4 linked regions of the Rhinolophus ferrumequinum genome follow. The protein of the gene in region 2 interacts with the protein of the main gene of each other region in a pairwise test. Links are inferred from orthologs where the notes say so. Each region holds a gene or a part of one and is shown on either strand. Other genes may lie near its edges.

Evidence for each region.
Region 1: the proteins of TXLNB (region 2) and MBIP interact in binary tests that used the Homo sapiens proteins (3 or more experiments, as listed by UniProt). The two-hybrid records come from large-scale screens. The link is inferred for Rhinolophus ferrumequinum from reciprocal best matches to the Homo sapiens genes TXLNB and MBIP.
Region 3: the proteins of TXLNB (region 2) and CEP57L1 interact in binary tests that used the Homo sapiens proteins (3 or more experiments, as listed by UniProt). The two-hybrid records come from large-scale screens. The link is inferred for Rhinolophus ferrumequinum from reciprocal best matches to the Homo sapiens genes TXLNB and CEP57L1.
Region 4: the proteins of TXLNB (region 2) and DEUP1 interact in binary tests that used the Homo sapiens proteins (3 or more experiments, as listed by UniProt). The two-hybrid records come from large-scale screens. The link is inferred for Rhinolophus ferrumequinum from reciprocal best matches to the Homo sapiens genes TXLNB and DEUP1.

The regions. Positions count from the first base shown.
Region 1 is NC_046289.1:84,244,878-84,252,329, forward strand, and holds the start of MBIP (MAP3K12-binding inhibitory protein 1), read right to left. Parts: upstream 3,053-7,452; 5' UTR 2,984-3,052; coding exon 2,855-2,983; intron 1-2,854. UniProt on the Homo sapiens protein: Inhibits the MAP3K12 activity to induce the activation of the JNK/SAPK pathway. Component of the ATAC complex, a complex with histone acetyltransferase activity on histones H3 and H4.
Region 2 is NC_046286.1:84,909,763-84,918,155, forward strand, and holds the start of TXLNB (beta-taxilin), read right to left. Parts: upstream 3,016-8,393; 5' UTR 2,886-3,015; intron 604-2,885; 5' UTR 590-603; coding exon 151-589; intron 1-150. UniProt on the Homo sapiens protein: Promotes motor nerve regeneration. May be involved in intracellular vesicle traffic.
Region 3 is NC_046286.1:61,797,893-61,806,055, reverse strand, and holds the start of CEP57L1 (centrosomal protein CEP57L1), read right to left. Parts: upstream 3,038-8,163; 5' UTR 2,811-3,037; coding exon 2,691-2,810; intron 136-2,690; exon of another isoform or gene 95-135; coding exon of another isoform or gene 11-94; intron 1-10. Other genes in the region: SESN1 (sestrin-1), read left to right, coding at 4,136-4,414. UniProt on the Homo sapiens protein: Centrosomal protein which may be required for microtubule attachment to centrosomes.
Region 4 is NC_046294.1:64,566,945-64,575,112, reverse strand, and holds the start of DEUP1 (deuterosome assembly protein 1), read right to left. Parts: upstream 3,008-8,168; 5' UTR 2,965-3,007; intron 1,769-2,964; 5' UTR 1,743-1,768; coding exon 1,696-1,742; intron 1-1,695. UniProt on the Homo sapiens protein: Key structural component of the deuterosome, a structure that promotes de novo centriole amplification in multiciliated cells.

The sequences.
Region 1 (7,452 bases), on a different chromosome or scaffold from region 2:
AACTATCAAGAACCTGAATATAAAATGTCAAAATCAATGAAAATTTTAGAAGGAATCCCTCTATCTCTAGTCTTTCGAGTGAATAAAAGTGAACCACCATAAACTTTTCTAGGGACATGTGTTTATGACATACTATAAGGATAAATACTGCATAGTATGATCAAGTTAACAAACATATTATTTTTTTAGAAATCATTTATTAAAAATTAGTCATGTTTTGTACAAAGTGTTACATTAGTTCAAATACAGATCTTATGAGTTGTGATTATATTAAAAGAAAAAGATGAATAACTGTACAAAGAACCAAAAAGATCCCAAGTTACCAAAAAAATGGCACTAAACTGAATAAATACTATATGACAGAAATTTACCACTCTTTGAACATGAGACCAGAAACATTTAAAGTCCATATTAGACGAGTGAAAGAAAAACGGAGTTTTGTGTAGGCTGCACTGGCAAAGATTAGTTTATAGTAACTATGGTTTTACATTAAGATTGCCACATTAATCTTAATTTATGTTATTTAATGACTATAAAGCCTTTGAAAGACAATTTATGTTATGTATGGAAGTAAACTATTATTGTACTTTTACAATCCTCAAAGAGATCTATAGTGGATTACACAAATTTATGAATATGGTTTGGGAATAAAACAGGCAAATCCAAAAGCAAAGCAAAGCAAAGCATCAAATTTTCTGGAGAAAACAGTACTTTACGGAAAATAAATCTGTGTTTGGATCATAATCTCAATTCAACTCAGGAGAATCATGTAAGCTTTCAAGTGCGAGTAAAGATACTTGGTCTTTTAAGAAAACCATACAATAATGTCACAAATTAACTTTAAAACTATCCCAATACATCCAACTATTCATTCAACAAATTCCCTACTAGTAATACGAATTCTATGCATTTCTACCCTATAGAACTTGTAATTGTAAATCACTCACTCAAAAATGTATTTGTCTGCCAATAACATGTACCATTTAAATATGCACTTTCAGTAAAAACTTTATTAAATTAATATGAAAATCCAAGCTAAAAATAAATAATTCTTTAGCTTGGTAAAATGGGCCATCCATCCAGAGGCAAGCAAAAAGGTTAGCATCAGTACATTTGAAATCGGGATAGAAAATACTTTTTAACATTCAATTTTATGTCTGTTACAATGATACTTACTATACAGAATAAACTTAGGTCTATTAGAACATACATTTTTAAAAACTTGTTGCAAAAGGAAACTGACATCCTCTGGTTTCCATTCTTATCTTTAAACAATACATATCAAGATATAAAGAATATTATCAAAATGGTTAGCATTTAATTGATGAGACACTCTTTTTTATACCTTATAGATGGTCCCTTCACTGTGTCAAGTAAACTTGCCAAATATTTACTCTGAACACTTTTGACAGTTGACATAAGTAAATTTTAATCACATCCTTACTTCTACATATAGAAAATTCGAATGTTTAAAAAATTTAAATGACTTTTAAAAATTTAGTATGCAAAATATTTCAAAAGCAATGTTTAAATTATTTCTTAACATTATTTAAAAAAAAAATCTCATCACTAAAAAAAAACAAAAACCCCTGTAAATTAGAGGTGAGCATAAACTTTTTCATCTCGACATTAGACTGTAAGTTCCAATGTCCATGCCACAAAACATTCTCTAACTTTTAAACCATTTATAGTTTCGGGTCTTAAGACTGAAATATTAATGTCCTCAAGTCTTTAAAAATAATTTTTTTTTAGGTCCATGGCAAACAACTGAGTTACAACTTTTAGCTGATTCTATTGGTAATCATCTCATTACACTAAAGTTTGAGTAATGCTCTTTGTTAAGTCATGATAAAAATAACAGGATTTTTAAAAAATTGATTCCCCATCCACCCAAGGCTTTTAAAAATAATTTTCACAAATCAGACAAACACTCTATTTTCATAAAGGAAGTAAACATTATCTTAGACACAAATGCCTGCTGTACCTTCTATATGCACTAGTACCAGCCCCATAACAAACTATTTATAGCTAGAAAATATTTCGTTTGAGATAGGAGAAAATATTTCCTTTTTAAAAGCAAATTTATTTTCAAGTTGTTTCTCATTTAAAATTTCTTTTGCATTTTACATCATGAAAGGAAACAGTAACTTGATTGGAATAGTGTACGCAGTACTTAAACTCAATTTTATCACATTTCTGCAAAAGCGACTTATCAGCCAGTTAAACTAGTTAATAGTTAAACAAGAGTTCTGAGGTCAACAGTATCCACCATGAATAACTCATCAAACTTTTTGCTAGAAGTATTTTAGATTAATTTTATTTTCCTCCCCGTTTGAAGGGTAGAAGATGCACACAACGGCCAAAAGGAAAAAAGAAATAAACAAAATCAAGTGACTCATAAGAGCAAATTACCCAAAAGAGGCGGAGAGAGCTTTTCCAGAAATCTCAGGCCGTACTAACCTATGAATTTCGATAATGACTGAACTGGAGGAAACGGGATCCTAGGCGCCAGGCGTCTCCCAAACCCTCAAAGAAGCTTTTCCGCATTCATTCTCTCCAAGCCTCCTCCTCTAGGAGCCAGATTTTGACTTACACTATCCTCACTTACTCCTGGGGAGAAGATTTGCAAGGAAATCTAGTCTGCAACCGGTCCTGAACTAAATCCGTGCGGCCATCCTCACTCCGAACGCAGGCGGCTGAGCGCGGGCTCCTCCCCCGGCCTCAGCTACTCGGGCCTCAGCTACTGGGGCCGGGGTCTCAGCTAGGCCTCCACTGCCCCCGCCTCCGCTAGAGAAAAGAAGGGGGGAAGGGCCGGATGGTTCCCATACCCCCACTCCCACAGGCCATCACTCACTTGTCCAGCCAGGGTATGCAGGGAGCGAAAGATTTCACAAAGCACCTCTTGGGAGAGGTTGGGGCTGCAGCTCTGTTCCAGGCTCCTATCACCGATGCTCGGGCGACTAAGCTCAGTGGCAGCAGCCATGACACCTTCGCAGGCCGCCCCCACCACCGCCACCGAGCTGAGCTCAAAACCCCACCCCCTCCCTCTTCTGCTTTGGTCGCTCCGCGATGATGTAAAAATACTGCGTCGAGTTTAGAGCGGAACTTTGAGGTCCCACCCTTTCTATGTGACTGACAAGTACATGCACCAATCAGATGCAGCTATAGCTTTATGCCGCGGACTGGGAGCGGGTAATTAATTGCCCACCTGCCAAGGCAAGGATGGACACACTCTTTGGGGATGGTGATTGGAATCGTGGTCCGTTGAGTGCATCGTGAAGTCTTTCTTGACTCTTACATGTTGCTTATGAGTGTTGGTAAGAGGAAACTTACAGTTAAATGGAAGAATTTTAGTCCCAAATTATAAATTGAAATTTTAACATGGCACTGTGGAGTGGTCGGGGGAAAGATCGCTGGTCAGGGATGCAGTGGTGCCCCACACGTATTTCTAAACATTGAAAAACTTTCACACAGAATTGGCGTATTTTGAGAGAACGTTTTCATCACTACAAGATTTTTTAAAACTTACACAAATTAACGTCACTACTTTTTCATGCGAGTGAGAGGAGGATGTAAAAACAATGCTCTATTATGCCTCATTCACTATCAAGGGAATGATAGTTTAAATCTGCGCAATGATTATGTAAAGTTTTAAAACGTGCATCAGTTGCTATTCTCTGGCTGTTACGGTAGAGATGTTCACCCTAAAACTTTCAAAGAAGTGAAACACTGGCAAGATAATTCCAACAGGATTTCAACCCAAATAATTGCATGCAATACAATCTTTGATATTAGAAGGAAGACAAATCCGAATTGAAATTTGACAAAGTATTTTTTATTGGGTAGCTTTATTAAAAGATATTTGAAGGACTTTGTATCCCATAATCAGAGTCTAACATATTTTTTTACTTTAGTTGTCCAATTGAAAAAAAAAAAAACAAGTTTTAAAAGAAATTCTAGTGTTCAGCTGTATTCAAAAACAGTTAAACATGAACAGTTTAGAGATAAGGGACGAGGCATTTACATTTCTTAATTCTAATAGTCTAATGAATTTACAGTAGAGGAAGCAAAGGTGGAAACTTGCACAATGTGTAGTCTTCAGTTTTAGAGTATGGTGAATGAAAGGGGAGGAATAAGGCATAGAGGAACTGGGATAAGGGCAGTAGGGATAAAAGAACTCCCTTGACCTGTCTCTAGGGAGCCTCTTAATTAGGCTTTCATTTCTAAAGATCCCTGGGCTTGACAGGATCTTGAGAAATCTTGTCTGTTCCCTTGTTTGTAGGGAGATAGACAGTTTATAATCCAGCCTATGTCTAGAGACATCCAGAAAAAGATTTCACAATACTATCTAATCCCAAATTGAGCAACCTTATATCATTCAAGCCACCCATCCCCAAATCGAACCTAAAGTCATGATTCCTTGCACAGTTAGTATATTTTCTTTGCCTTTGCTTCTCTTTAGTTAGGGGAGAATAATTGACATGGGTTAACAAGAAGTTTTTGTTTTATAACAAATTAGCAATCAGTTTCAGATCATTTGTTTTCATCTAGGTGTAAAGTTTTGTGTGGTTCCCCCCCCCCAATATTCAGCACACTGGTTTGAAATCCATTTGAGAACATGTTTTGTAAATTACAAGAATACTATCTTTAATAAATAAGGTACTGCTCATTCCTTTCTTTGCCATCACTGAGTTTGAAATTTCAAGTTTTACTTCCTCTAATTAATATAGAATTAATTGATGGCCATTTGATTTCTACACAGGTTTACCCCGATATCCAAAAGTAGAATGCGACACCTTTCATAAGCCGAAGTAGTATGAAAAAAAAAAAAGCGAAGACGCAATTACCATTAATTTATTTGGAATTTTTTTTGAGGCAAAAAAATAACCAACCAAATCATACTACACATGCTTAATTACATCCAGTTTTATACTAAGCAAAACACCCTTACTAGCTCTCTTAGGTTTTCTGATACCTTAGGACATATCTTGCTAACAGATGCACAAAATAATTGTTTTGCTATGCTATCCAGATCCACTTATATCTTAGTATTAATAATACTTAGTATAGGTAATACTTGGATTTTAATTCTTTTGTGCATATTTCTTCTTTCCAAGGACCTTCCTTACTCCTTCCTGATGCCCATTCCCTTCATTTTGGAAAACATTTTTAAATTTCTTCTGTTTATTTTAAACAAGAGTTTGTAAGATGGAAAGATGTGGATTTCCTTGGACTAACTTTACATAGAAATATGTAGATAATAATGTACAATAATATATGATGAAAGCTATGGAGTTTAGAAAGAGAATAAAAGAAATAATTTGCCCTTTATAGAAGGCTAATTACAGTTTATAAAATGGGCTGCTCAAAAATCTGCTGCTTGGCAGAAATGATTCAAAGTGTTGGTCTTGGCATTAGCAACAGAATTAAAAATACTGTCTTGCAAGTTTATGCTAAGAATCAATTGGGAGGATAGAAACGGTCATTGAAATCTAGGCTATGTACCTTATCAATAAAAATGTCCTTTATGAAGAGGTTTAAAGGCACAACTCTATTAAATAATCCAGTGCCCAGAAAGATGTCTGAGATATTATATGTGCTCAAAAGATGTTTGTTTAATGTATGGTAATACAAATTTTTCCTAATGCAGAAAATTTGCCTTTTCTGGCTCCCTATTGCCCATTGGATAAGTCCAAGTTCCTTACTATGGCAACTAAGGCTCTTCTCATGACTGGCCTTTACCTAAATTCCCAGCCTTATTTTTTTCCACAAACCATCTGGTGCTTAATGCTCCTGGAATTGTTTTTATTTCTTCAAAGCTTTACTATTTTTTGCCTCTATGTTGTTATTTATGCCCCTGCCTTTTGTCTGCTTGGGAACTCCTGTTCCTCCTTCAAACTCCAGCTCAAAAATCCCTGGGAAGTCTTGCCTCATATTCCTTCTCATCATGATCATATCTTCTTTACTAAATGACTCCTACAACTCATATATACTTCCATTATTGTACTTATCACACTGATACTGAAATTATTTGACTGGGAATCTGTCTCCCCATTGAACTGTGAGCATTTATGTGTATCATATTTGTGTACTTAAGGCTTCTCAGAGTTCCTGGCAGAGTAATTGCTCAGTATGTGCTTGTTGAGCTGAACTTATTTGCCTATCTAAGATGAACAGATTTGTAAAATGGAAAAAAAAAAAAGAAAGAAAGAAAGGAAGGAAGAAAGAAAGAAAAAGAAAGAAAGAAAGAAAGAAAGAAGTTTCTACTCTTGAGGGGGTAGTTGTAACACATAGTAAGAATGCTATAAACAAATTCATTTCAAATAATGAAGCATGTCTATTTATATTCTTCTGGAATAACAAATTCAAAGTGCGCAAATTTTTCTTCATGAATGAATATAGCCAGCCTCCATAACCATTCTCATGAATGATATGCATGCAAATTAATTATACTTACTATATGCCAGACACTGATCAGCATTGGAGGTACAAAGATGAAGCAGACAAGGTCTCTATCTCTAAGAGCTCCAATTCTAGTGGGCTAGACATGTATGTAAACAAACAACTATGATATAATGTGACATATTAGAGACATGTATAAAGTAATAGAACTAATTAGTTCCTTTGAGGAGGTATTTGTGTTCAGTATTAGGAAAAAGCTCTAAACATTTGATGTAAAATATGGCTTGAGGCTCAGATGATGAGTACAGATTCTCAGCTTAAATAAAACATGAGCGGCAATGTGATTGATGTGTTTAGGGAGGATACATTCAATAGAGAACTATGGTTAAGCCAGCATTTCCAAAGTTTGTTGTGCTGAATACTAGTCCTATAAGATGCTTCTTTCAACAAAAATTTCCATGATTAAGTAAGTTGGAGTAATATTGACTAATGGTATTGCCATGTCATGCACAACGTTCCACTTTCTATTAGCAAGGCGCTCAGCACTACAGTCAAGTCCAAGGACACAGCTAAACCAATCTCAAAATTCCATCTTTGAGGATGTTTACTGGGACTCTGTACCAATTTCCAAATCCGTCAAGGTTTATTCAGGAGACAGAAACCATACCTGTTATTTTAACAGAGAAAATTTTAGTACAAATTGTTAATTAGGATAAGTTGTTAACTGAAAAAATAGCAAGGAACACTAATATATCACAGAAATAGCAAATTCAGGAAGCGGCTAACCCCTCTAGGGCTGGGGGAACAAAGGGAAGAGTTTGGAGTTATTAAAATTTAGGACCTTTGAGGAACATCTCCGTGGAGTCCCTCAAAAAACGGGGTGCTGTTCAGTTGGGATTGGTGTCTTTAAGGGGGACATGATGAGGCTGGTTAACAGGTGTTTAAAACTGCAGATAGCGTATACGAGCACTACAGGACAACACCACGCAGTCTAACATACATGTAATTGGAATCCCTAAAGGGGAACAGAGAGGGTTTGGGGCCGAAGAA
Region 2 (8,393 bases):
GAACACGGTCGGCAAGAGAAGGTGTAGGGAGCCCTGAAGGAAGCTGGTAGTCATCCAAAGATGAGATGTGGGTTTTACTAAAGGTTGGAGAAAATGCCCTTTTTAGGATTAATTCAAAGAAAAGTCAGATATTAAAACATAATTACTTGCCTAATCCTTTTAGGATTTTCTTTTCCAATTTTTGCTCTTTATTGCTGACAGTCTCTTTGGCTGTGGGTCGCTCTTCGGAAGCTACCGGTTCTCTCTCAGTTTCTTCAGTGACCTCCTCACAATCCCCATCCTCGTTGTCGGCTGGTTCTGTGTTCTCAGGGTGCTCCTTGGCCTTACTGGGACTCTCTTTCCCTGCTGTGCCAGCAGCAGACCCATACGTGTTAATGATGTCTTCCAGTTGTCGATTCAACTCTTCAGAGATGTCATGAGCTCCTGTTTCAGGCTGCACATCTGCCCCTTTCAGGGGTGCTTGGAGAGAGGTTGAGGAATTCTGATCATGTGGCTTCTCCAGGCCATTTTGACTGGGTAATGATGAACTGTCCCCCAGAGGTGTTGACTGTGGTTCTCCTGAGAGCTGTGCAGAGTGATTAGTCTCCATCCTGGGAGCAGTACCTAGTGGTAAGCACAGTCAGGTTTTATGCAGTTAACCTAGTTACGTATAAATGGTAAGGATACCTCCAAATGGGCGCCTACTAATTACAGTTTCTTACATAGAATGAATGTACTTTTACAAACGATTGATCTTGCAATTAGGTAGGTAGGAACAGTGGGACGCCATTTTTCCAAATCAAGTCATACTATTTAGCATAGTTTGTTTTTGGTCTTTAAATTCCAGTAGTATCTCCTATTGTTGACATTAGCAGAGTAATTCAAGATATTGTTTTTTATGGCCCTATCTGTCATTTTGCTTAGAATAGCCAATTTGTGTTACCATTTTCTTCTATAATCCTATGTAGATTTATAATCACTGAAAGTACATGGATGTATACACTTAAAATATTTAAATTTTAAATGGTGTTATTTTTACAAAGTTAAAATATTTAATACAAGAGCTACTAACTTACTAAAATCCTTCATAATAATGTCCCTAAACTCTATTTTAATCTATAAATGAAGATTTGATTAATATGAGTACATTGATATAAATGAATTATTATGCTGGATACAGGAAATGCTTTCTTGCTTTTTCTGGTATTTTCCTTTTCCCAGATGAGCAACATGTAATTATTAATGATGAAAACACTTTTTTTTTTTAGGTACACTAGCATCATTTTTGGAATAAGGCAGAGAATGAGGGAAGTTATAAATTAACAAACAAACTGGCATGGAAACATGGTGATGCTTATAATAATAATTCTTTGAATTTCTGTAATACATTTTCTTTTTTCCAGTATAAAAACTGGCATTCTTTTAGGAAAAAAAAAAACAGATTACAACATTTTCTTCTCAGTCAAGAAGTTCTAGGATAAGTTGATAATTTTAAAGAAATGGCCATGTTTAAGGCAAAGGGAGGAAATGAAGTAAGGAAATTATCCAGGTGTGATATGGGTTCTTTGGAAATATGGAGTGAGCAATGAGCTGAGTCAAGGATTCCAGGATTTCTGGCTATCCTCATTCCTGGGGTTGCAAGAGATTTGGCTTAGGCCTTTACGTTATGGTTCATTTCCTTTGTAAATGATATTTAGTGGTGATGGTGCTGATTAGCAGGACAAAAATATGACAGGATCCTCATAATGCACAGGTTTTGCTGCTGTGGAGGTATGGAAAGCGAAAACACAAACATGCTGCTCTGTGCACTGCACAGCTTCCTCCTTCTGTTCTCAGGGCAGTAGATATCAAATGCTTGGCCGCCAACAAGAATGGAAAATTCAACGTACAAACACTGCCACCCACTTGTGGTCCTCACCAAGTACACATTAATTTAGAAGGGAGTATTTTTTTTTCCCCTCACTCATTGTAATCCACCAACTTTATTATCAAATGATACAGTAAACAGCTTCATGTCTTCATCACTGGAATTTCTTTATCCTGACCCTTACCTACTTCTTGGGCACAGTCATCTATATATATAACTAGTGCCTCCCCTGAACTTGGAGAAAGACACATGGCACCTGCTTCCAGCCAGAAGCTATTTTAAGCTCTTCTAAAAGGAGCCATGGCATTTAGCACTTTATCCTTGAAAATCAAGGGAATGGAGTACTTTTTAATACAAATCGAAAACAGTAAACATTTGCTGGCATAAATTCATATGTGGGTTTTAAAGTGTTAAAAAGTCTTTTTAGGATGAAATAAAATCTAAAGTAAACCAAACTTCAAAGCAATGAATTTAAAAACTGACTGTCCATAGGAGTTTTGGCATGGTTAGTTTAAATGCAAGCATTTTATTTGTAATAGCTTTATTCTTCATTCCTCAGAGGCCATAATCATTGATGTTTTTATATTAATCCCACGGACAGCCTTTAAACTCATATTCCATGTTTACTTTAAAACAGAATAACTGAGTCATTGTGAACCACAGGAAAACTCAATTCCTAAAAGTAGCCTCAAGATAAATCAGCAAGAGGAAAAAAAAACCCAAAGTCAAAGAACTCTGTTACTTTTAAATTATCTCTTTCTAGATTAATTATACAGCAAAAATTATTTCTAAATTTTATCTTCCATAAATTTTATTGCTGCCTTTTCCCTCCTCTGAAAGAAAGTTTATCACTTGTACTGGCAGTCCCAGTAGATTATCACACACACATCCCTTCCTGAGCAACACATTTTAATTATAAATAAAACAATGGAAAGTTCTTCAACAGTTCGCTGGCAATCTTAAAGTTGCAAATTTCGAACACCACAAACCGCACCCCACATCTTCTCACAGGGCTTGGGGGAGTGTTTGTCATACTTACCAGAAGGCAAGGAGCTAAGCAGAAAGAGAAAGGAGAGGCAAGGGGCAGCAAAAAGTTAGTCAGAACAGCAGCAACAGCAGTAGACAGGCAGGCGGCTGTGTTCTTACAAGGGGACAGAGAAACCAAATACACACACACACATACACACACACACACACACACTCACACACGCACACACAGCAAGAGAGCAGGTGGGGGAGGGGAAAGGAACATCATATGACACAGCAGAGAGAAATAACACCCAAGCTTCAGTAGCTGTCTCCTGGGTCAATGTCTTAGAAAAGGGAAGCAGCTGGTAGATCTGATCAGACTCCATCTTGATTCCTTTAAAAAAAAAAAAAATGAAACTCTCAGTATGTAGACCTTTTGCTAGCACAGTTTTTCACCATTGTTGTTCTTTTGGGCAGAGAATTGGTTTTTCTTATTTCTTGGTTAATTTCCAGTGTGGCCTATGATTCATGTCCTTTTTTCCCCTTCTTACGCTAACCTAATTAGTGTCAGGTTTCTTATAGGAATCATGGAAAAAGGAAAACAATGGCCTAACAAAAAGGAGGTGGGAGAACTACTTTAATTCTGATGTCATTGTTTGGTTTATTTATAAATTTTGAATTAGAAATTTAGACGGCTGTCTTGGCAGTGGGCTAGTATCATCTTCAGGCACATGGTAGTTGGCGTGACCTCAGATTCCTGGTCTGACTTGGGTAACCACCTCCGCATTTCAGATAAGCCCCTGGGCACTTCACCTTTTCTTTCTTAGTTGGTGGCTTTCCTACCTTCTGCAGCCGCATTTCGAGGTCTTCACTATCCTTTCCAAACCCTCAACGTGCTCCTTAATCCCTCAGAAAAAGAACCTCCTCCTCATTCACCATAAAATGCTTCTCTTCACCTACATTCGTTCCCCTTTTCTGTCTGTTTCTGGAGAATGTGTTCCCACACTTTTCCAAAGTAGTTTCCTCCATCAGAGTTTCTGCTCTGGAGAATGGCTGGGCATTGTGACACCCCCTGTGATAGGCAGCATAATGCCACCCCAAGAAGTCCAAATCCCAACCCCAGGAACCTGTGCATGTATTACTTACTTTATCCAGTGAATGGGGACTTTGCAGATGTGATTAAGTTAGGGATTTTTGAGATGGGGAGATGATCCAGAATTATCTGGATGGGCCCAATGTAATCTCAAAGGTCCTTATAAATGAAAGAGGGTGGGGGGAGGGGCAGTCAGAGTGATAAAATGAGATTTGATGACTCAGCAGAGGTCAGAGTAATGCGAGGCCACAAACCACGGGGTGAGAGAAGTGTTTAGAAGCTGGGAAAAGCAGGAAACAAATTATTCTCTAGACCCCCCAGAAGCAATATAATTCTGTTGATACCTGGGCTTAGCTCTGAACTCATTTTTGATTTCTGACTTCCAGCACTGTAATAAATTTACATTGTTTTTAAGCCACTAAATTTATGGTAAATTGTTAGCATAGGGAGGGAAAACTAAAATATTCTACCCCCCAACTTTTCCCTACCACTTTCTCTGTGTTCAGGGGAGGCATAAGTTATATATAGATGAGTACACCCAACATGGAGAGGTCAAGATAAAGGAATTCCAGTGACGAAGACAAAGCTGTGTCCTGTCTCATTTGATAATAAAGTTGGTGATGTAAAATGGGTGAGAGAAAAAGTACTTCTATCTAAGGTAATGAGTGCTTGGTGTCGGCCACAGGTGGGTGGTATTCCATACTGGATTGTAGCGAACTGAATCAGTCAGCTCTCTCGGTAAATGTAAACAATAAATTAGTGATTCTCAAATTTAAGTAATGTACAGACTCTTAACAGGATAACTTAATCTTAAATTTTATTTTAAAGATAAAAAGCTCTCCATGGTTGAACTAAAGAATATTACTATTTGTATTGATATATACTAATAAAAATAGGTATAGACTTCTGATGTTTATTGTTATATAATACAAACTTTAAAAAATCTTATTTAAAAAAAACCTACAAAAGCAACAAATATAATTCAAATTAACAACATTGCTTTTATGTGACAGATAATATTTTGTTGAACCCAAACTGCAATTTACAACATGAATATGGTATTGCCTGTTGCTGGTTCTTTTGAGTTCATGGTACTCGTCTACAATGTGCTTTGTGAAATGACTCAATTTCTTCAACACTTGATCCATTCAAATTATTACATAAGTTTCAGTCATGTGACCTGCCATAATTTCAGTTCAACTTCCTTTGATACAAATGCATCATTTATTGCTCTTTTTCATTTTCCTGCAATTATTAAAATGTGCTACTTGGAGCTAACTTGATTAGGTATACACATGATAGTGAAGGTACCAAAATGACAGATATACCTACATGGTCGGACAATTAAGTTCGTGAACTTGTTGCAACTCTGTTGCTAAACTTTTTTGATAACAGAGGGATTATTCATTATGAACTTGTACCAACTGGATAGTTAACCAAGTTTACTATTTGGAAGTGCTGAAAAGACTGCATGAAAAAGTTAGACGACCTGAACTTTTCGTCAACAATTCATGCCTATTGTACCACGACAATGCACCAGCTCACATGGCACTGTTTCTGAAGGAGTTTTTAGCCAGTAAACAAATCACTGTATTGGAACAGTCTCCCTACTCACCTGATCTGGCACCCAATGACTTCTTTACCTGAAGATAAAGGAAATATGGAAAGAAAGACATCTTCATGACATTCAGGACATCAAAGGTAATACGATGACAGCTCTGCTGGCAATTCCAGAAAAAGAGTTCCAAAATTGCTTTGAAGGGTGGACTAGGCGCTGGTCTAGGTGCATAGCTTCCCAAGGGGAGTACTTCAAAGGTACCATAGTGATATTCAGCAATGGGGTATGTAGTACTTTTTCTAGGATGAGTTTGCGAACTTAATTGTCAGACCTCTTAATGACACCAAAATGACAGCTACCCAGATGATCCCCAATAGGCTTATACGTTATTAATTACAAATGGAATGAATACAAACACACAAACTTGTGGCTCCCAAGAATCCATCACGACCTGCGAGAGGCCCAAAAAGCTGGAGTAAGTAAATAACACAGATTAATAGAGCTCAGTTCTTATTATAAAATCAACCTTTGAGTTACTGAAAGGAATAAATTTCTTTTTTGAAAATAACATTTTAATTTTTATGCAAATATTACCAGAAAATAATTTGAAAGTCAAATGATGCTAAAAAGCTTATCACAAGAAACAATAATCTCTGTCCTGCCCACTACCTCTTCCTCCAAACTTGTCATGTTCCCCAGAGGTAATAATATTAAACTACTTCAGGTATTTCTTCTGTGATTTACTTTTTCATCTGTAAATATAACACCCATCTTGCTATCTGTCAACTGGTCGATTTTGGCATTACCTATTGTCTTCCCAAAATGACAGTTGAAGATTTAAATTACGGACACCTCTTTTTCTCTCCTCATTTCTCAATGAAATTACATCTCATTTTTAAATTCATATTCTATGTTTTCATTATTGAAATAAAATTCACTGTTAAATCAGGTAGAACACTACGACTATAGTTCTATTCTTTTGAAACTTTCTGGTTTTCCTGGAGTCAATGATTATCTTTTCATTTGCTTAGTAATAAGAGCTTTGTAAAGTGCCTCTCTATGTAATTTTTCCCAAGATCAAATCTGTTAGACAATTTACACATTCTAGTATATTTTTGAATATATCACCCCCACATATAAACACCCTCAGAGCCTTGACTTCCTGCTCCGGTCTGGTTTGGTGACTTTCTCAGCCTGCTGCACAGCTGTTGTCCTAGCACTTACTCTGCTGCCATTCTGGGAATTCCCCTTACCTCTCTCCTGTTTCCTGATTCCTATTCTTCCTCTTTCTTGGTTTACTTCTTCTTTTTATGAAACACACTATCCTTTGATTTCCTGAGAGAGTGTTTATAGGAGACTTTGTATGTCTCAAATGCCTTTTTGCTGTCCTTATATTTACTTGATTGATAGTTTGGCTGAATATAAATTTTTACAAAATGTAAAAAAAAAATTTATATTAACATATTAACATTTCTATCAAAAATGTTAAGGCATTATTCCCTTGTCTTTCAGTTTTCAATTTTTTTTCTTAAAAGTACAAAATCATTCTTATTCCTGATTCTTTGTATGACCTATTTCTTCTTTTCTCTCTGGAACGGTTTAGAATCTTCCCTGAACTCTAAAGTTTCACAATGATAAAATTAGATGTGGTTCTTTTTTCATTTATTGTGTTGGATGTTTAATGGGTTCTTAATCTGGAGACTCATGTCTTTAACCTCCTTCTCCCTTTATCATTGTTTATCACCCTTGTCCTGCTCTGGACTTCATATCCTGAGTCTAGAGCCTTTCTAGTTAAGCTTCTCCAGAGAACAGTCTTCAGGTAATTCAGGTAGCCTGAAAAAATGGACACAGGTTACTTGACTTTGTGAGCGGAATTAGGGATTTTAGGGTCTGACTGTTCATTCTTCTAATAAAAAAATGAAAAAAAAAAACCAGCCATCAAATGATCCTGCTGGAGTCCCCTGCCTTACTACTACTTTTGATATTATCTCTACTTACCAAGTATTAACCTCAAGCTCTTTAGTGTTTTCAGAAGCTACTAGGCAAATTGGTTAGCTTCTCAATTGCTGCCCTCAAGCACGTTTTTTTCTGTTGCATCATTTACCATTATGTCTTGCGTTCTAATCCTCATTCGTTGTGGTTTGGGGTTTATGGATTCAATTCTTCTGGTTTCACTGATGTTAGAGTTTCTATTTTTGTTTCTGTTCTTCTTGTTTGCTAGTGAATTTTAGAAGAGAAACAGGTCTGAAAGATCTTTAAAATGCTATCTTGAAGTCAAGAAGATCTGTTTAACCATTATAGTGGTCCAGTAATGAAATGAACTATCCCCCCGAAGTAAGAAGCTCCAGTTTCAGAAATATCCAATAGAGCCTGGTTGTTCTTTCTTTTAGGGAGACTGAAGAAGAAATTTCTACATGGGGAGTCAGAGGGGGGAGAAAATTAGATTAAATGACGCGTTTAAGATCTCTTTCAAATATAAGAGTCTATGAATTCTATACTTTTCTATTACGGGCTTAAGGGAAACAGAAATGAAGAAATGATATAATAATTAAGATTATATGCCTGAAAATCAGGCAGCTTCCATATGAATTCCAGGTCTGTCTTTTACTTAGGCTATATGTTAAATTTCTTCAGCTTCAATTTCCTTCTCTGTAAAATGGGGACTCCCTGTTTCCCATGGTTGTTATGAGACTAACAGTCAATGTGGTCTAGATGATGGACATGTAGTCTATGTTAACTAATTCCAATAATGATGCATTTAAGTGAGGCCTGTGAAATGGGAATTAATTTTTTTTTTTAACAGCCTTTTGAAGTTGTTGCTGTCTAGAACTAAGTTCAATCTTGAGAATCCATTGTATCGTCTCCTTGTTGTGGTATCCATATCCTTGATCCGGGTTAGATCGGTCTTGGGGTGAACCGATCTTTGT
Region 3 (8,163 bases), about 23 Mb from region 2:
GAGGACTCACGTATCCAGACCACTTGACATCCGTTATCCAGAACACTAGATGTGACCAGACCTCCAGGCACCCGTCCTCCAGAACACCTGGCATCCATCATCCAGGCTGAGAACCATCCTGGACCAACCCTAGGGCTAGGAGTGCAGGACTGATTAAAGAATGCACTTTGTACTATAAGAACTCTTAACTTTACCTTCTCCTCCGGAACACTTTCTGGGTTTTTCCCTAGTTATGTTTCTTGCTTGCAAAACCTAAGACCCTTGAATAAATTTTTATCATTTATTTCTAGACAAAGTCTTCAAACTCTTTTTGAGTATTATTAAATACTCTGTTATCTTATAGCAGGATGAGGTGGCAGGAACATGGTAAAAATATTAGCAAATCCTATTTCATGAAGGTTAGCACTACAATTCACTAGCACTAAAAGCTTTGCTCTTTTAAGATTAATTTTCTAAAATGTTTTCATGATAAAGTACCTTCTTCCATCCATTATCTTGTGTTTTGTAAACAACAGGTAAATATGTTAATACCTTTGAAAATTCTGTCATTACATTTTTCTTCCATTCATTCATCAAATATTTATTAAGTTCATACTTGATGCCAACCACTGTACTCAGAGCTGGAAATGATGAGCAAGAGCAAAACTCAGCACAGTCACTGCTCTTGTGTACTTATGCTTCAGTAGCAGGCATGCTTTAATCAAATTAGCACACAGACAATTGCAGAAACAAATTTATAACTTATTAGCAAGTAAAGATATATGATATAATGATAGTAAATTTATAATAGGGGCATTTATTCAGCTCAGGTAACTTTGAGAACGTGATATTTGAGCTAAGATCTACAGGAAGAGGAGTCAAAGACAGGCTAGAAAAGTCTGAACAAAGAAAACAGTACCAGAGGGGCTGCAGCCACAGTCTCCAGTTCTATTTTTCTCTTAAATAAAATGCCCATCTGGCTTTTACCCTTTATTCCACCAAAACTGCTCTCAAGATCTTCAGTGATATCTACATTGCTAAACGTAGTGGTCAATCATCAATCCTCATTTCACTTGACCTAGGGCAGCATTTAACGTAATTTAGCACTCTTCCTCCTTAATCACTTTCATTTGGCTTTAGGACAAGTGGGTCTTCCTGTCCATTCACCGGCCTCTCCTGCATATTCATCTTTGTATATAACTCCAAATCAACCCAAACTCAGTGGAGTGCCTGTTTTGTGATTCCACCTGTTCTCAGGCTTTAACGTAAGCCGTCAAAATACTACAAGCAGATGGATCTATGAAAGCTGAAAGTGAAGCTGGATGGAGCTATGCATTTAAGAATCATAGGTGGTGGTGAAAGCATGGGTATGGATGAGAACAGTTTCAACTATGCAGTAAAAAGGGGACCTAGACGTAAGAAACCCTACCCTTTGGGGGTTGGACAAAGGAGGATGAGCCCAAAAAGAAGACACACACACACAAAAAGAATGACTTTTTTTGCTTGTTTTGTGAAATCATACTCATAAGAAGTTCTTATTTTTTAAAATTCTGAATTAAACTAGTAGCATCAGAATGTAGCCAGGCTTTCCAAATGAGACCAATTCTTTGAAACTATAAATCTGTTCAAGGATAGGTCACTTCCAGAAACTACGTATCTGGAATCTACAGTACCTGTCTCTTTGCAGCTTCAAAGTACATCAATACAAAAAAAGTTATCCCTCTCAAAATATATGATTTGACTTATTGTAGTTTCCTGAAAGTACCATTGACTTTTTGTAGTTTCCTGAAAGTACCATATCTCTCTCACTTCTGGGCCTTACCATATGCTGTTCTTTTGGCCCTCTCTTTCACTGGGATGGTTTTCATGACTTTCCAAGGCTGGGCTAAATGAGCCTCTCTCTAGCCATTCCAAGGATATCACACAGTACTGTAACCGTATGTTTAACCATTCGTTTCTCTAACTTCATACATAGGAGCTGTATCTTTTTCACTGTTGTATACTCTGGACCTAACAAGGCTACATATTTTGAAACACGTTTATTCGGCAATGTGAACAATTAAAATTTAATTTGGTTATCAGCTCACGACTTTTCCTAAGAGGAATGATATTTTTTAAAAACCAGCAATTTGTAAACACATGGTTGAATTTTTAAAATTTTGAATATTTTTACAGGTCTTTTTTCATATAGTATCCTTAAAGCCTGCAAAAATTCATACCAAGGAATACCAGATATTCTTGATAGTCTTTTCCCTTTAGTCTCATATAAAATGGATTTCACAACTCACTTTCAAAGCAAAGCCCTGCTTGGATGTCATGTTGGCTGAGCAAATAAAGCCCAGAAAACCCTTAAGCAACGGCAAAAGAAAGGTGCAATTGCACAGGGATTCATGAATCCATCGCGCACGAGTCCACCTGAAAGGGCGGAAGCAGAGGCAGCAGCGCGGAGCACTCCTTCCTACAGCATCCCTCTTTGTCTGGCCGTCTGCGGCTCCCTCGGACTCTTAGATTCGCCACCTTTCCCACTTTCTCGCCTCCACGCGCCCCTCGGGCTTGGGCACCCGAACTAGTCCTTCCCACACAGATTACTAGAAAAAGTCCCTGGACTAAGGAGGACAACCCTCGACGGCTTTGTCTCCAAAATCTCAGAGGAATGTAGGAAGGAAAAACCCTGTCAAGGGAAAAGTGGCATCCAAGCCTACAGTTCTCACCAAGCTGACGCTCTCAGTCTCCCAGCGCGCTAACGGTCGACTCGCCCGCCGCCAAAGGCAACGTCGCAGTGGTTTGTGGGGGCTGTAGTTTCTATCGCAAACGGAACGCGCCAGCAGCATCAAAACTACATTTCCCAGCACTCAATAGGAGGACGCCCTACCTCCTTGAATAAAGGATTTGGAGTAATAAAGAGATAGTCACTAATTTTAGGCCAATCTTAAGATTAGATTCAGTTTCTTCCAGGAGCGCGTCCGTCTTTGCCGTGCTTGCCTTGTCTGTGAAAGTTTCAAGGTACTTCAACTCCTTACTTTTCTTTCCCTTCGCCAGTCCAGAGAATCCAAACGTCAAGGCCTTAAGGCGCATGCGCCTTGCTCGCCATCGCGCATGCGTGGCATCCGGCCGCCGTTAGCGGTCGCGCACGGACTTGGGGTCTGGAGGTAGCTGGAGGAGGGCGGGGCTTTTTCCAATGGCTTTGCCTCTGCGGGTCGCGTCTGCCTGGGCGGGGAACAGGGCGCTAGGGCAGGGGCGGCTCTTGGTTTGTGCCGGGCGGAGAAAGGGGAGGGGCTGGGGGGTGAGGACCCCATCTCCCCTCCCTGCTCCCGCCCTCTGGGCCGAGCCCCACAGATGGGGCTGGGCGAAGAGGCGGGTTCTGCGCCTGGGCCCTGCGGCTCCACCAGCTCTGCGGCCCAACCCGCGCTAGGGGATTGCGGGGCAGCCCGGTGCCAGTCTGGTTCAGTGGGCGGCGGGCGAGGACGCAGCGATCGGGAGAGAAACGGCGCCTGCCAGGGGGTCCGGAGCCAACCAGACCTCGGCACTGTCCTCTGACTACGCCGCCGAGACAGCGGCTGCTGGAGGCTGCTGCCTCCCCGGCGCGCTTGGGTCTCCGGCCGCGGCGGCCAGTGAGCCGCGGTTCCGCGAGCCTTCCCAGCCTGCGTCCAGCCCGCCGCTGAGGCGCAGGGAGCAACTGCGGAGGGCGGGGACTGGTGCCCGAGGAGGGGCGGGGTGGGAACGCTCCGGAGAACGCGGTGGCTGCACAAATAAACCCGAATGGCTGGAGGGCGTTCAACGTTACCAGCCTTTTGGGGCAGAGCACGGATTTGACAGCTCCACAACGTGAGGATATCCGCTGACCCCGCGAGACGGAGAACACTTCCCTGTCCAGCAAAGCCAGCACTGTAAGGTTTCAACTTTCCAACTTTTTTTTAGTCTCCGACCAGAAGACTGTCGCTGCGTGTAGGAGAGGGTGAGGTCTATCTTGCAGATCGTTTGAAAGCCATCAATATTAAAAGACACTTCTGGTTCCAAATGTCACCCAGACGTGTGTTTTCATGACGATTCGATGTCCCTGATTTTCTTACATTTCTTGTTTAAAAACACCTTAAATGTCTTTGGGGACATGCTGAAAGGTAACTGAAGACTGCAAAGAAAAAAATCTCCGTTTGTCATGGCTGAAGGAGAGAATGAAATGAGATGGGATGGACTGTGCAGTAGAGATTCAACTGCTAGAGAGACAGCACTGGAAAACATTAGGCAAATCATTTTGAGAAAAACTGAGTATCTTCGTTCGGTGAAAGAGACACCTTATTGTCCATCAGACGGGCTTTCAAATGCTGTTTCTTTGGATGGGTTGAATAAGCTGCTTGCTCATCTGCTTATGCTTTCTAAGAGGTGTCCCTTTAAAGATGTAAGAGAGAAAAGTGAGTTTATTTTGAAGAGCGTCCAGGTAAGGAAGAGCATTATAATTACAACTGTCTGTCTAATACAGTAAAATTTTACTTGCACTTAAATTCACTTTATTTCTAATAGGTTGTTACATGAACTCTTATTATGAGTTCAGGCTACATCTTAATTTTAGAGTGTTCTGTAAAACATTGAATTTGGGGCCAAAGTTGTGCAACATGAACTAAAATAAAAGCAATTTTCAAATATAAGTAAACAAGTATTGTCTTTCTAGAAAGTTGTAACAGAAACTGCATTGCTCCTGGAAAAAATGTGTGAGTTATAGTTAGTTGCAAGTAAAGACTGACTTTTCCCTATATTCATTTTTACATGTTGTTGGGAAGTGTAGCCAGTATGCTTTTTACATTGTTACAACCAGTGTTCTGTGTGGAAAGTTTCACATTTAAAAGCCTCCAAAATGATAAAGGATATTAAGTGTTCCCTTGTCAGCTTGTTCAAGATAATTGGTGAAACAATTTTCCCTTGTTCTTAAAAACAAAACAAAAAAATCCAGGGTCTGTTGTCTTAACTGCAACCATTCTTTAAAAAAAAAAAAAATGAAGAAGAATTACATAAAGTAACAAAAGCTTATGTTATAAAAGAGCTGAAATCTTCAGATTTAAAAGTTGGACCCAAGTAGACTATATGACAGAAACACTTTTATGGTAAATTACTCAACCAGCTTTCTCTGTGTTTGCTTAATTTTTTTTTCTCTACACACCTATTTAAATTGTGAGTACAACAGGTTAAACATTATAGTTTTCCTCTTGTTTTGTACATAATTTATCCTGTTTTATTAGATTTATTAAAATGGTTCTCTTTTAAGGGGTTGTTTTTAGATATTAACAATGCTCAGTAACACTGTGCTTCTCAGTCTAAATTACTCAATCTACATGTGTTCAAAGTCATAGTGTGAGTTTTTCAAATTTATGATTTTCTTGTGTATACATATGGAAGTTAAGATGGACAGTTTTTCTATTCTGGCTAAAATTTAGTTTAAAGCAATAGAAAAATAACCATGTCCATAAAATGGAGACTTTTTAAGATCTTGGGACATTTTTTCTTACAGACACTTTGGAAATAATCATTACAATTCATTTATCCAGGGTTACCAGAGAGGGATTAATTTTCTAGATACCTGAAGTTTACCGTCTCAAGCATCAACATTATTTATCATATAGACTGTAGTGACTACAATTACCTTTTTTCATAATGGGGTCATCATTATGCACATCAAGTACTGTTGCATAGCTAAGGGTGGAATGTAGAAGACTATATGATCCATGTTTTTTTAATTTTGTGTTCAGTTTTTATGGTTTTCCTGTTCCTTTTTTTGCTGTTAGTATACTTCACTTTGGTCTCTTTTTGAACCTTTACATTTGCTGCTTATTTCTGTTAGAATGGGAAACCAGATAACCAATTTTGTTAAGAGTTATAATGAAAACAAGTAATTAGGCTCTGGGGAGTACAGGGTCAAAGGACTGTGATACAACCGTAAGTAAATGGGTACTGGGTCAACCTATACTCCTTTATTAATATACTGCATAACCTTGGACAAGTTCCTTGACTTGTTTTAGTTTGGATTTCCACATCTGTAAAATGGGAATTAATAACAGAGCTGTTGTGAGAATTAAATGCGATGTAAAGTGCCCCAGTATATAGTGGATGCTTCTCTCCCCTTTCATAAGTGAAATACATGGACTATGTGATAGATATTTCAAGACTCATTCATTCTGCAAAACGATCCAAGAATCTCCTCTACTGTAAAGGTTTGCCGTAGATTTATACCTTTTTTCATCTCTGCATCTATTGCACTTTATTCCTGCCACAATTTTAACAGGCACTTTACTTATATTGTGCTATAATCATGCCTATGTGTCTCTTCCCCCGGGAGGGCTGTAAGTTCTCAAAAGTATTGGCTGGGACCTGGGAGCTACTAAATAAATATCAAGTGGATGAACAAATTTATATTTGGCTTCTTTTTGTTTCTTATCAGTCTGAATAGATGAAGTTACTAAATTAGGGAGTTTCCATCCCCACATTATTCAGTCATGCCTTCATTCAACAAATGTTTATCGAACCCCAGGTGAATGCCATTCTAAGAACTGGGAACCAGTGCCGAACAATTTTGACATTCTACTGAAGGGAGACAGATCAGAAGGAAGTAAACAAATAATGTAATTTTAGATAGGTAGGGAAGACTTCCCTGAAGAGATGACATTTAAACAGAGATTTGATGAGTGAATAAATACTATCCTGGCAAAAATGAGATTTTTGAGGAAGACATTCCAGGCACAGGGAACAACATGTGTGGAGGCCTCCTGGCCAAAAAGAGCGGATGAGTTCTCAGGACTGAAAGTAATGCAGTGTGGTTGGAGCACAGGATGAGGGGAGTGTGAAAGCTTAAGCACGAGCTCTGGAGTCAGACCTGGCTCCAATACTTTATTAGCTCTACAACCTTAGAAAAATTACATAATCTCTCCTTGACTCGGTTTTCTCATCTGCAAAATGAGGACAATGCTAATAGTTCCTGCCTCACAATGAGAATAAAATGAAACAATGCTTGCAAAACATAGCACAGTCCCTAGCACATAAGAAACGCTCAGTTTAGAATTCTGTTTTTAGGCAGCCACATAACAGAGGATCTTGTAAGCCACGTTAAGAGTTGTGGACTTCATCCTAGGAACAATGGGAAGCCTGTGAGGGGTTTTGAGCAAGATGGTGACATGGTCCGTGGTGTATCAGAAAGCTCCCTTTGGAAACAAAGAGAATGGATTTCAGGGGTCAAGAGTGGATGTGCAACATCAGCTGGGCAGTTGTCCACTTATCCAAAGCAAAAATGATGGCGGAGTAGGACATAGTGGAAAAAAGTGAATGGGTTTGGGAGAGAGCTAGGAGTTGGAAACCATAGGATATAGTCTTTAATTGGATCTAGGAGATGAAGGAAATTATCGTCATTTCCTGAAACAGAAGAGTGGTAGAGGGTCAGTTTAGGGGGAATGATGAGTTCTATTTAAGACATGTTGAGATTCCTGTTGCCTATGTTACCTCATGTTAGTAATAGCTCCTGAGGGATTTCTGCCCCTACTACCACTGTTCTAGTTCTGCCATTGTTCTCCCTCCTCCAGCCTTAACCTATGTTCCACCTTTATTTATATCCATTCCCCACGTAACTGCAGAGCCATTTATCTACAGTGAAAATCTGCCGAAATCTGCCTAAAATCCTTTAAAACAGAGTGGAATCTAAAGAATTCCAGCATCAATCTGGCTTCTCCCTACTGCTCTGTCCTCACTGCCCACCACTCCCATCCTTACTGCTCTCACTCTGGCATGAGACTCACAAGGGAAACCAAATAATTTAGATCGTAGCGCTCCATAATGCTTTTTGCTGTTCATTAGTAAAGCAGCAAAGGCTGAGTGAAGTGCATTTGCAATTCTTTCAACTGTTCTGAAGATCCTTAATTCTATGGGTCAGCTCAGAGAACTGTAGTCTGTTAGGGAGACGTGGTGGGACAATGGTCGGATGAATGCAACTTAAAATGGCTAAACCTGTAAAAAATCAGCACATTGGGAGAGAGCAGTATGTTTGTATTCCTGCTCTCAATTTATTGATTTCATGTCAACATACGTAAATCTGTTCAACACATTTTTGAGAACTATTCTCTGTCAGAACTGTACTGGGGACTGGAAGATCAGTAAGATTTGTTCCCTGCTTTTGAGGAAGTTCTTCTATTCTCATAGGAGGCTTTATTT
Region 4 (8,168 bases), on a different chromosome or scaffold from region 2:
AATGAATGAAGAGAAATATCAGTCTCCAAGGCCTCAGATTTGCAGGAGTGAAGTGATATCTGCTACCCATCCTTAGGTTGGAGACCTTCAATCTGCATCTTAGCCCTCTGTGCTATTGTCACACCACGGACCTCACACCTGCTCAATCCAGAATCCTACCCTGGCTCTCCTGTGGATACTAGGTACACTGCTCCCTGAATCGCACTGTCATCCATTTCCAATGTAGCAAAGAATGCAGGGATTGGCACCACACATATCTGAATTCAAATCTTACCTCCTCCACTAACCAATTGTATACGCTGGGGCAAGATCCTGCTTTATTTCTCTTTTTTCTACATTTCTGAGCTCAATGTGGCAGAGGCTGCTAGCTGTCCACCAATATCCGTTATTCTTCCTTTTATTATACAACTGCTAAGCTTTAGTTGGCCATGTGGCTGTCCAGTTAGAAACCACATTTCCCCACCTTCCATGCAACTAGCTGTAGCTCTGGGACTAAGTTCTGGCCAATAGGGAGTGAACAGAAATGAGGCCTGCCTCATTTAGGAGTATGACTTCAAAGTCCTACTCCTAAAAGGAATGGTCTTAAGCTCTCCGCTTGCCCTTCCCCTTTCCCTCTGGCAGGAGCACAGTCATGATGGTGGGAGCTGAAGCAATCACTTCGGGCCCAGAGGTGGAAATCATGCAGTGAGGATGGCAGAGCTACCCTACAAGTCCTGGTCTGCTTCTCTCTGGGCTTGTACAGGAAACAGAAATGAACTTCAGTCTTATTTAAACCACTGTATTTTGGGGTCTCTTTGTTACAAGAACTTAGACTATAACTAATGTGCTCAATTTTCTTAGTTGTGAAATAACAATACCTAACAGGGCAGGAGGAGTGTGCAGGAGGACTTAAAACAGTGAGAGCTATTATTATTGAGACTTGGGCAGCTTTCTTTTAGCCTGATGTTAAAGTCATGATCTGAGCAGAAAAACTGAAAGTGAGACATCTGCAGTGGTTTGACTAGTGCAAAGTCAGTCGGTCAGGATTAGGCACTATAGTGCCATGCCTACCCACTGCCCCACCTCCCCTGCCCAGCTCTGGCGTCAACCAGGGGCCAGTTGGCTAATAAAACAATAGGAACAGAAACCTTTGTGGTGTTGCTGGCAGGGAAGGGGTGGGGACAGATTATTTGTGAGAAGGAATTTAATTCTGAACAATGGCAAATGCTATACAAATTCTATTCCTTATGTCTTCATGAAAGTTTTGGTAAAATATCCAGTTCTTGTTGCTGTTTTGAGGAGCTAGATCTGTTTTGAGGCTATGTTTAAGCATTGAGTTCAGTTTTCAGGGCAAATGTGGGCGGATGCTCAGACACCTGGTGCAACAAGATAGGAGCAAGCAGGCCAGTAGCTGCTTCACTGTGGAAACCTAAGGGCACATGGGGCCAGTGTGGGCACCCATCACCCTAAAAACATTTTAAAAAACTCACTAAGAGTTGGAAAATGGTGATTTTTGTGTGCAGCTCCATAGTCAAAATTTGAAAGACCCAAACTATAGATTCTTAATTAAAGTCTCTTGAATTTACCCCACCCTCCTCACCAAAAATAACTGGCATATTCTTCTATTAATACTGAATTTCAAAATTCCTGTACCGTCAGGGAATTTCTGGCATAGTTAAGTTACAACTTATTAAATAGAAATTTCTCAGCACTTACCCCACTGTATTATGGGCTTGGTTCTCCATGTCAAGAAACTGCTGCATCTGGTTTAAATTTCTTGATTTTTAATCTGTTAGGGAGAAAAATGGTCTAGATTCCTAAAATGCTTACATTTATTAACCTATAAAAAAAGAAAATTTTGCTACTGGCAAACCATTTTCTATGTTTTTCTGAATGGAGTAACTCTTGGTTCTATAAAATGTAGAAACTTGCACATGTCTGTGTGTGTATGTGTATGTGTGTGTGTCCGTGTCCCCATGCTATGAATTGGCTTAATGATGAGTTGAAATATGTGGCACTGACTCAAATGAGCATTCATTCACTGTATATTGAGCAATGGCTTGGTGCCAGGTACTTTGCAAAAGTGCTCAGTACATGAGGTGAGTAAAACAGAATTTCTATTCAAGAGTTGTTCCATCGAAACGCTTGCAAACTTTCCTTTCTTGTGGATCCTCTAAAAGTTTGCCTTTGAGTAAATTCTTTCTTTGGCCCTTTCTGGGTTTTGTTAGAATGAATATCATGAATATTTAAGACAAAAAAACCCCTAAGAATTCTCTAAAAATAGAAAATTCACAATTCCTCAATGGTTCTGTGGGCACCTGTTTACCTGTTTGACAAAATAGGGGTGTTAGTGCTTGCCTAAATTAAAAAAAAAAAAAAAGAAAAGAAAAAGAAAAAGCTTTTCCCAATAACAAAATTTTAACTGAAAAATCATCTATGAGGATAAACGGACAAAGAATTGAATAGGACTTCAATTCCTCTGATTTACTGAATAAAAGTCAATGAAATAGCATTCAAAATGGTAAAAAGGAGAGGTTCACATCACTCTCAAATCAAAGGATTTCAGAGAGACCCTGGAATTGTGTATGTAGACGATGGGCGCGGAGCAGGGATGGGGAACGACGGACAGAAGCATACATTCGTTTTGCAGGTTCTGAATTCCCTCACTTTAACGTCAGAGAAACTGAGGCACGGACTAGCTAGGTGACTTGCCCAAGGCCACACAACTAGAACCTAGACCTTGTAATTTAGGTAGAATCTCTGCTCTGAATTCTGCAAGGACCATCCTGGTATCCCAGGCTCTCCCCACCTGTCGCCCGACCGCGACCCCGACCCCGACCTCCTTGTCCAGACCCACGCAGGGTTCAAGGCCAGCCTCCGTGGAGCGGCCGACCTGCTGTGGTCCCCAGCTCCTCCCGAGCGAGCCCCGCCCGGGGGCCAGGACGAAGATCTGGGGGTGAAGCCGGGGACGCCCGGATGGGTTACCTGCATCACACTGCGCCGCGCTCTCCCGAGAGGTCTGAGGTCCCAGGAGCAGAAACTCCCGGGTCACCGCCCTCCCCGCCCGCCCCGAGGGGCCCCGCCGTCCCCGCCACGTTCCCGCCGTCCGGGCCCGCTCGCCGCGTGGCCACCGAAGCCGTTAGGGCTTCACTTTCCGGGCCAGCAGCCAGGCCGCCGCTTTGCCACTGGTTGCCATGGGGACGCGGTCCAAACTCGCAGCCCGGGGGCCTGGCGGTGGGGGATAGGCTAACCCGCGGGAGGCGTCGGCAGGCGAGGCCTTGCGGGGGCTCCACGGCCACGGAAACCACCCACTCGAGCGCGACCTCTCGGTCCCTCAGTTTTACGCCTGGTTGTTCCCTAGACGAAGGGTACCCTGAGACCACATTCCGGGTCCTTTCCTTTCTGTGGCTCTCCCTACCTAGCCCGGTGTCCAGCATCCAACGGGGGTCCAAGAAATATTTGTTGAATGAATGAAGGAAGGAAATAATGAAGGAACAAAGTGTAAGAAGCGGGGAGTGGGGGTGGAATCTACATCCAAGTTCTTTAAATCAATCCCCTTGGCCCTTCGCCCTCTCACCCACATTTGAAATGATATGAAAAAGAAATAGACTTGGGGTAAAGAGAGAGCTCCCTTTTCAATTCACCGAGATGTCTTCCAGTCGGGAGTAGCTGGATTTCTTTTAACAGCATCGCTCAGTGGACAGCTAGTCTGGTCACGATAACAGCAGAGCTGTACCTGTCTTTTCCCTACAGTGCATTGATTGGAGCCTTAGAAAAGCTCCGTGAGTTAGGCGGGGCAGACTTGCCTCCCTTTTAGGGAGAAGGAAATAGTTCCTAAGTGGGACAGAACACAGAGTGACTGATTCCAAATTCTTTTCTTTTTTCACCAAATTCCAAGAATAATTGATGACAAAAGTTCTGTCACACAGTCCTCATTTGAAAGCAATGATAGGAAAGGATATATACATGTATTTGTGCGTATACATTTTTTTCTACTGATACCTTGAGTGATATATTTAAGTACTTGAATTTTGTGCTTGGAAAATATTCTTGCACCTATTTTGGTAACAGAATTCCTTCCCAATACATACAGTCGATTGATTTCTAATTCTTAAAATCTTTTATTTGCTTTCTACTTTCATAACATTAAGATTAATTTGCTACTTTAATATGGCTATCAATTTAAAACTGACTCCAATCCTTCCATTCAGGTTCAAAAAAACCATTTGCTGTTTTGTGACAAATTGAGTTTCATAGATGAATTGTGTAACAGCAACTCAGGTTATTAGTTCTAATAAGTGTTTCATAGCTCTCATATCATGATTGAATGAAGAGAGTAATAATTTTATCGTAACTTGAAACTTTTCATTATTCTGAAAACCTTAGTCTTATTCTTTATTCTTGTCTAAACTGAATGGGTCAATGTATTTATTCTGACATGAGGAAGAGAAAATGGAACTAGGAATGAAAATTTCCTGAAGTTTCAGGATGCCCAATATCACTCACACTGCGTAGCTCTTTACCATTGGTTCATTCACGTTCATTATTTCCTTAGTTGCTCAGAAGTACCATGTGACACAAGTATAACAGGTGTTATTATAGCTCCTTTCAGCAAATTAGGAACCTAAGCTTTAGGGAGAATAAAGAATTTGTCCTAGATGATACATCTAGACTAAGAGTAGCTAAGAACCTAGACCATCCTACTCAAAGTCCAGTGCTCTTCAAACTATCTCCAATTTAAGGTTGAGTAGATTTCTTGAGCAGTCAGAATGTTGCATAGGTAACTGCAGATGTATTTAAAGCCACATTTTCAAAAGAAAGAATGGGTGTGGGCAGGACTTGCAAAACATAAGCATGTGAAAGAACACAAACTGTGATGTATTTTAAGAAAATTTAAGTATAGAATAGAACCCCGCCCCCGTTTAATTTAATAGGAATGAAGGCTTTCATTTCAGGATGTGACTTAAGGCTTAAAATGCAAAGGCCTGCCTATATCCACCCCAACCCCCACTCCAACCCCCAGTAAGAAGTAACTGCAAAGAAAAATTTACTCTGAAACGTACCTGTTATTAGATCTTTTCATGTGAAATTAATGGAGAGAGCAAAAAAAATCCCTGAGTTTAAAGGAGGGGAAGAATGTGACCAGGGTATTGGCGAGAGCACAGTCCTTAAAGAGAATTGGAGGTCACAGCAGTCAGAATAAGATATAATAAGAAACGGTCAAAAGAAAGTATATAAGGCACATATGGCCGAGGAATGAGGAAAACCAGTAGAAACATCAGATCACCAAAAACAGAACCACAGAAGCTTCAGATTTTGGAATCAGACAGAAATGATGAAAAGTATGGATAGTAAAGGTCTGACAATTAAGTTTCTGAACTTGTTGCAACAATGTTGCTAACCTTTTTTGATATTAGAGGGATTATTCATTATGAATTTGTACCAACTGGACAAACAGTTAACCAAATTTACCATTTGGAAGTGCTGAAAAGGCTGCATGAAAGTTAGATGATCTGAACTTTTTGCCAATAATTCATGGCTCTTGCAACACGACAATGCACCAACTCACACAGCACTGTCTGTGAGGGAGTTTTTAGCCAGTAAGCAAATAACTGTATTGGAACACTCTCCCTACTCACCTGATCTGGCCCCCAGTGACTTCTTTCTTTACCCAAAGATAAAGGAAATATTGAAAGCAAGACATTTTGATGGCATTCAGGACATCAAGGGTAATGGTATGACAGCTCTGATGGCCATTCCAGAAAAACAGTCCCAAAATTGCTTTGAAGGGTAGACTAGGCGCTGGTGTAGGTACATAGCTTCCCAAGGGCAGTACTTGGAAGGTGACCATAGTGATATTCAGCAATGAGGTATGTAGCACTTTTTCTAGGATGAGTTCACAAACTTAATTGTCTGAACTCGTATGCTTAAAGAAGTAAAGGACAAGATTTAAAAAGTCTGCAGGGAGCACTAATATAAAAAAATGACCCACTATATTTGAAAAGGAACTAAATAGAAATTCTAAAGCTAAAAAAATTGCTAATAACCCAAATTAAGAACACAACATATGTGTAAGTGTAGACTTGATACAGATGCAGAAAGAATTTGTGAACTGGAAAACAGATCAAAAGACAGTTTCCAGAGTGTAGGGAAAGATAAAATAATGCAAATATTTTAACATGAAGGTTTTACAACTTTAGTACTTATTAATGGAGTTATTTGTTGTTATGAAAATAAAAAATAGATGATATATGTGAAAATATCTAGTACATGCCTGGCAAATAGTGGGTACTCAAGAAGTATTTATCAAATTTGAAATTAAAAAAATTAATGTGGCCATTTTGCAAATCATCTTTGTCACTTTTTATAATTTCCATTTCTCTGTCAAAATGTCCAAGCTTCTCTTTTATTTTTTTAAACATATTAATCATAGTCATTTTCTATTTTGCGTCTTATAATTCCAGGTTCTGAAATGTTTGCGATTTATTGCCATTAGTTTTTACTCATATCGTGTTGTCTTGTGTGTGTTATGATTTTTTTGGCTAGGAGATAAATTTTTGGTGTAACTTTATTTCTGACATGTTTGAGGCTAAGATCGAGGTTTGGAATCTTCCAGAGAAGATTTACCTTTGCTTTTGAGAGTTGCTTCAGGACATAACAAATCCCAAAACACTTTACATTAAATTCTTCGCAGGATATTTTTTTCAGACAGCATAGGTAATATGAATGAACGAGATAATAACTGTTAGGTTCGGTTTATGATGCACAGTTCCAGACAAAGAACTTTCCTTTATCCAGTGCCAAAGTCAAGATGGGCATGTTTTTTGCTGTTCTATTTTTGTGACTTTTTCTTAAATAAGCTTTTTATTTTAAAATTGTTTTTAGAGTTATAGAGAAAATGTGAAGATAACACAGAGAGTTCCCACATCTAGTAGTGTTTATTACTAACATCTTACATTTGTACAATCCATTTGCCAAAATTAATAAACCAATGCTGATATATTATTAGTAATCAAAGTCCATTCTTTATTCAGATTTTCTTACTTTTTCCTGTTGCAAGATCCCGTACAGTATACCACATTGCATTTAGTTATGTCTTCTTAACCATGTCTTGGCTATGACCTTTCTAAGTATTTTCTTGTTTTTGATGGTCTTGATACTTCTGAGAGGTGCTGGTCTGGTATTTTGTAGAATGCCCCTCAATTGGAATTTGTCTGGTGTTTTTCTCATGATTAGATTGTGAATATGGGTTTGAGGGGAGAGATCACAGAAATAAAGTGCCGTTTTTATCACATTGTATTAAATGTACATAATATCAACATGATTTATGACTGTTGATGTTGATCTTAGTCACCTGGTCGAGATAGTGTTTGTCAGGTCTCTCCACTGTAAAGTTTCTCACCTTTCCCTTTCTATGCTGCACTCTTTAGATGGAGATATTATGTACAGTCTTCACTTAAGAAGTGGGGAGTTATGCTCCATCACCTTCTTAAGGTTGGACTATGTATATAATTATTTAGAATTCTTCTGCATGGAAGATTTGTCTCATCTCTCCTATTAATTTATATCAGTATGGACTCATGGATATTTATTGTATACTTTTAATTATAACCCAAAGCTACTTTAGTTTGTTTCTCAAATTGTTGTAGCTTAGGCCATTGGGAGCTTTTTCAGTTAACTCCTATGTCTCTTTGCCATAACCCCATAATTGTGGGTTTTAGTTTAGTTTTTTTTTTTTTCCTTTGAGCACTTCATTACTTTCTTACATTATGAGATACTCCAGGCTCAGCTTGTATATATATTATTCCTGCTTAAGTCCTAGAACCCGCTGTTTCTCTAAGAAGCTGTGGTTCCTTTTATTTAGAATGCAATTGGAAACCAACAGCTGGTATCTCCAGTCACGATGGTGGAGTAGATAAACGCTGTGCTTGCATCATCTCAAAACCAAATCAAAACTACAACTAAACTACAGGACAACCATTATTAAGAACCAGTCTGAAGTCTAGCTGAACAAAAGTCTAACAACTGAGGACATATACAGAAGAAGCCACCTCGAGACTGGTAGGAGGGATGGAGATGCAGAAAGGGCTGGTCTTGCACCCACATGTGACTATTAAAAATCAGGAGGCGTATCTCAGCTATGGAGTTGCCCCTCAGAGGAGCAAGGTATCCCAGCCCCACATCAAACT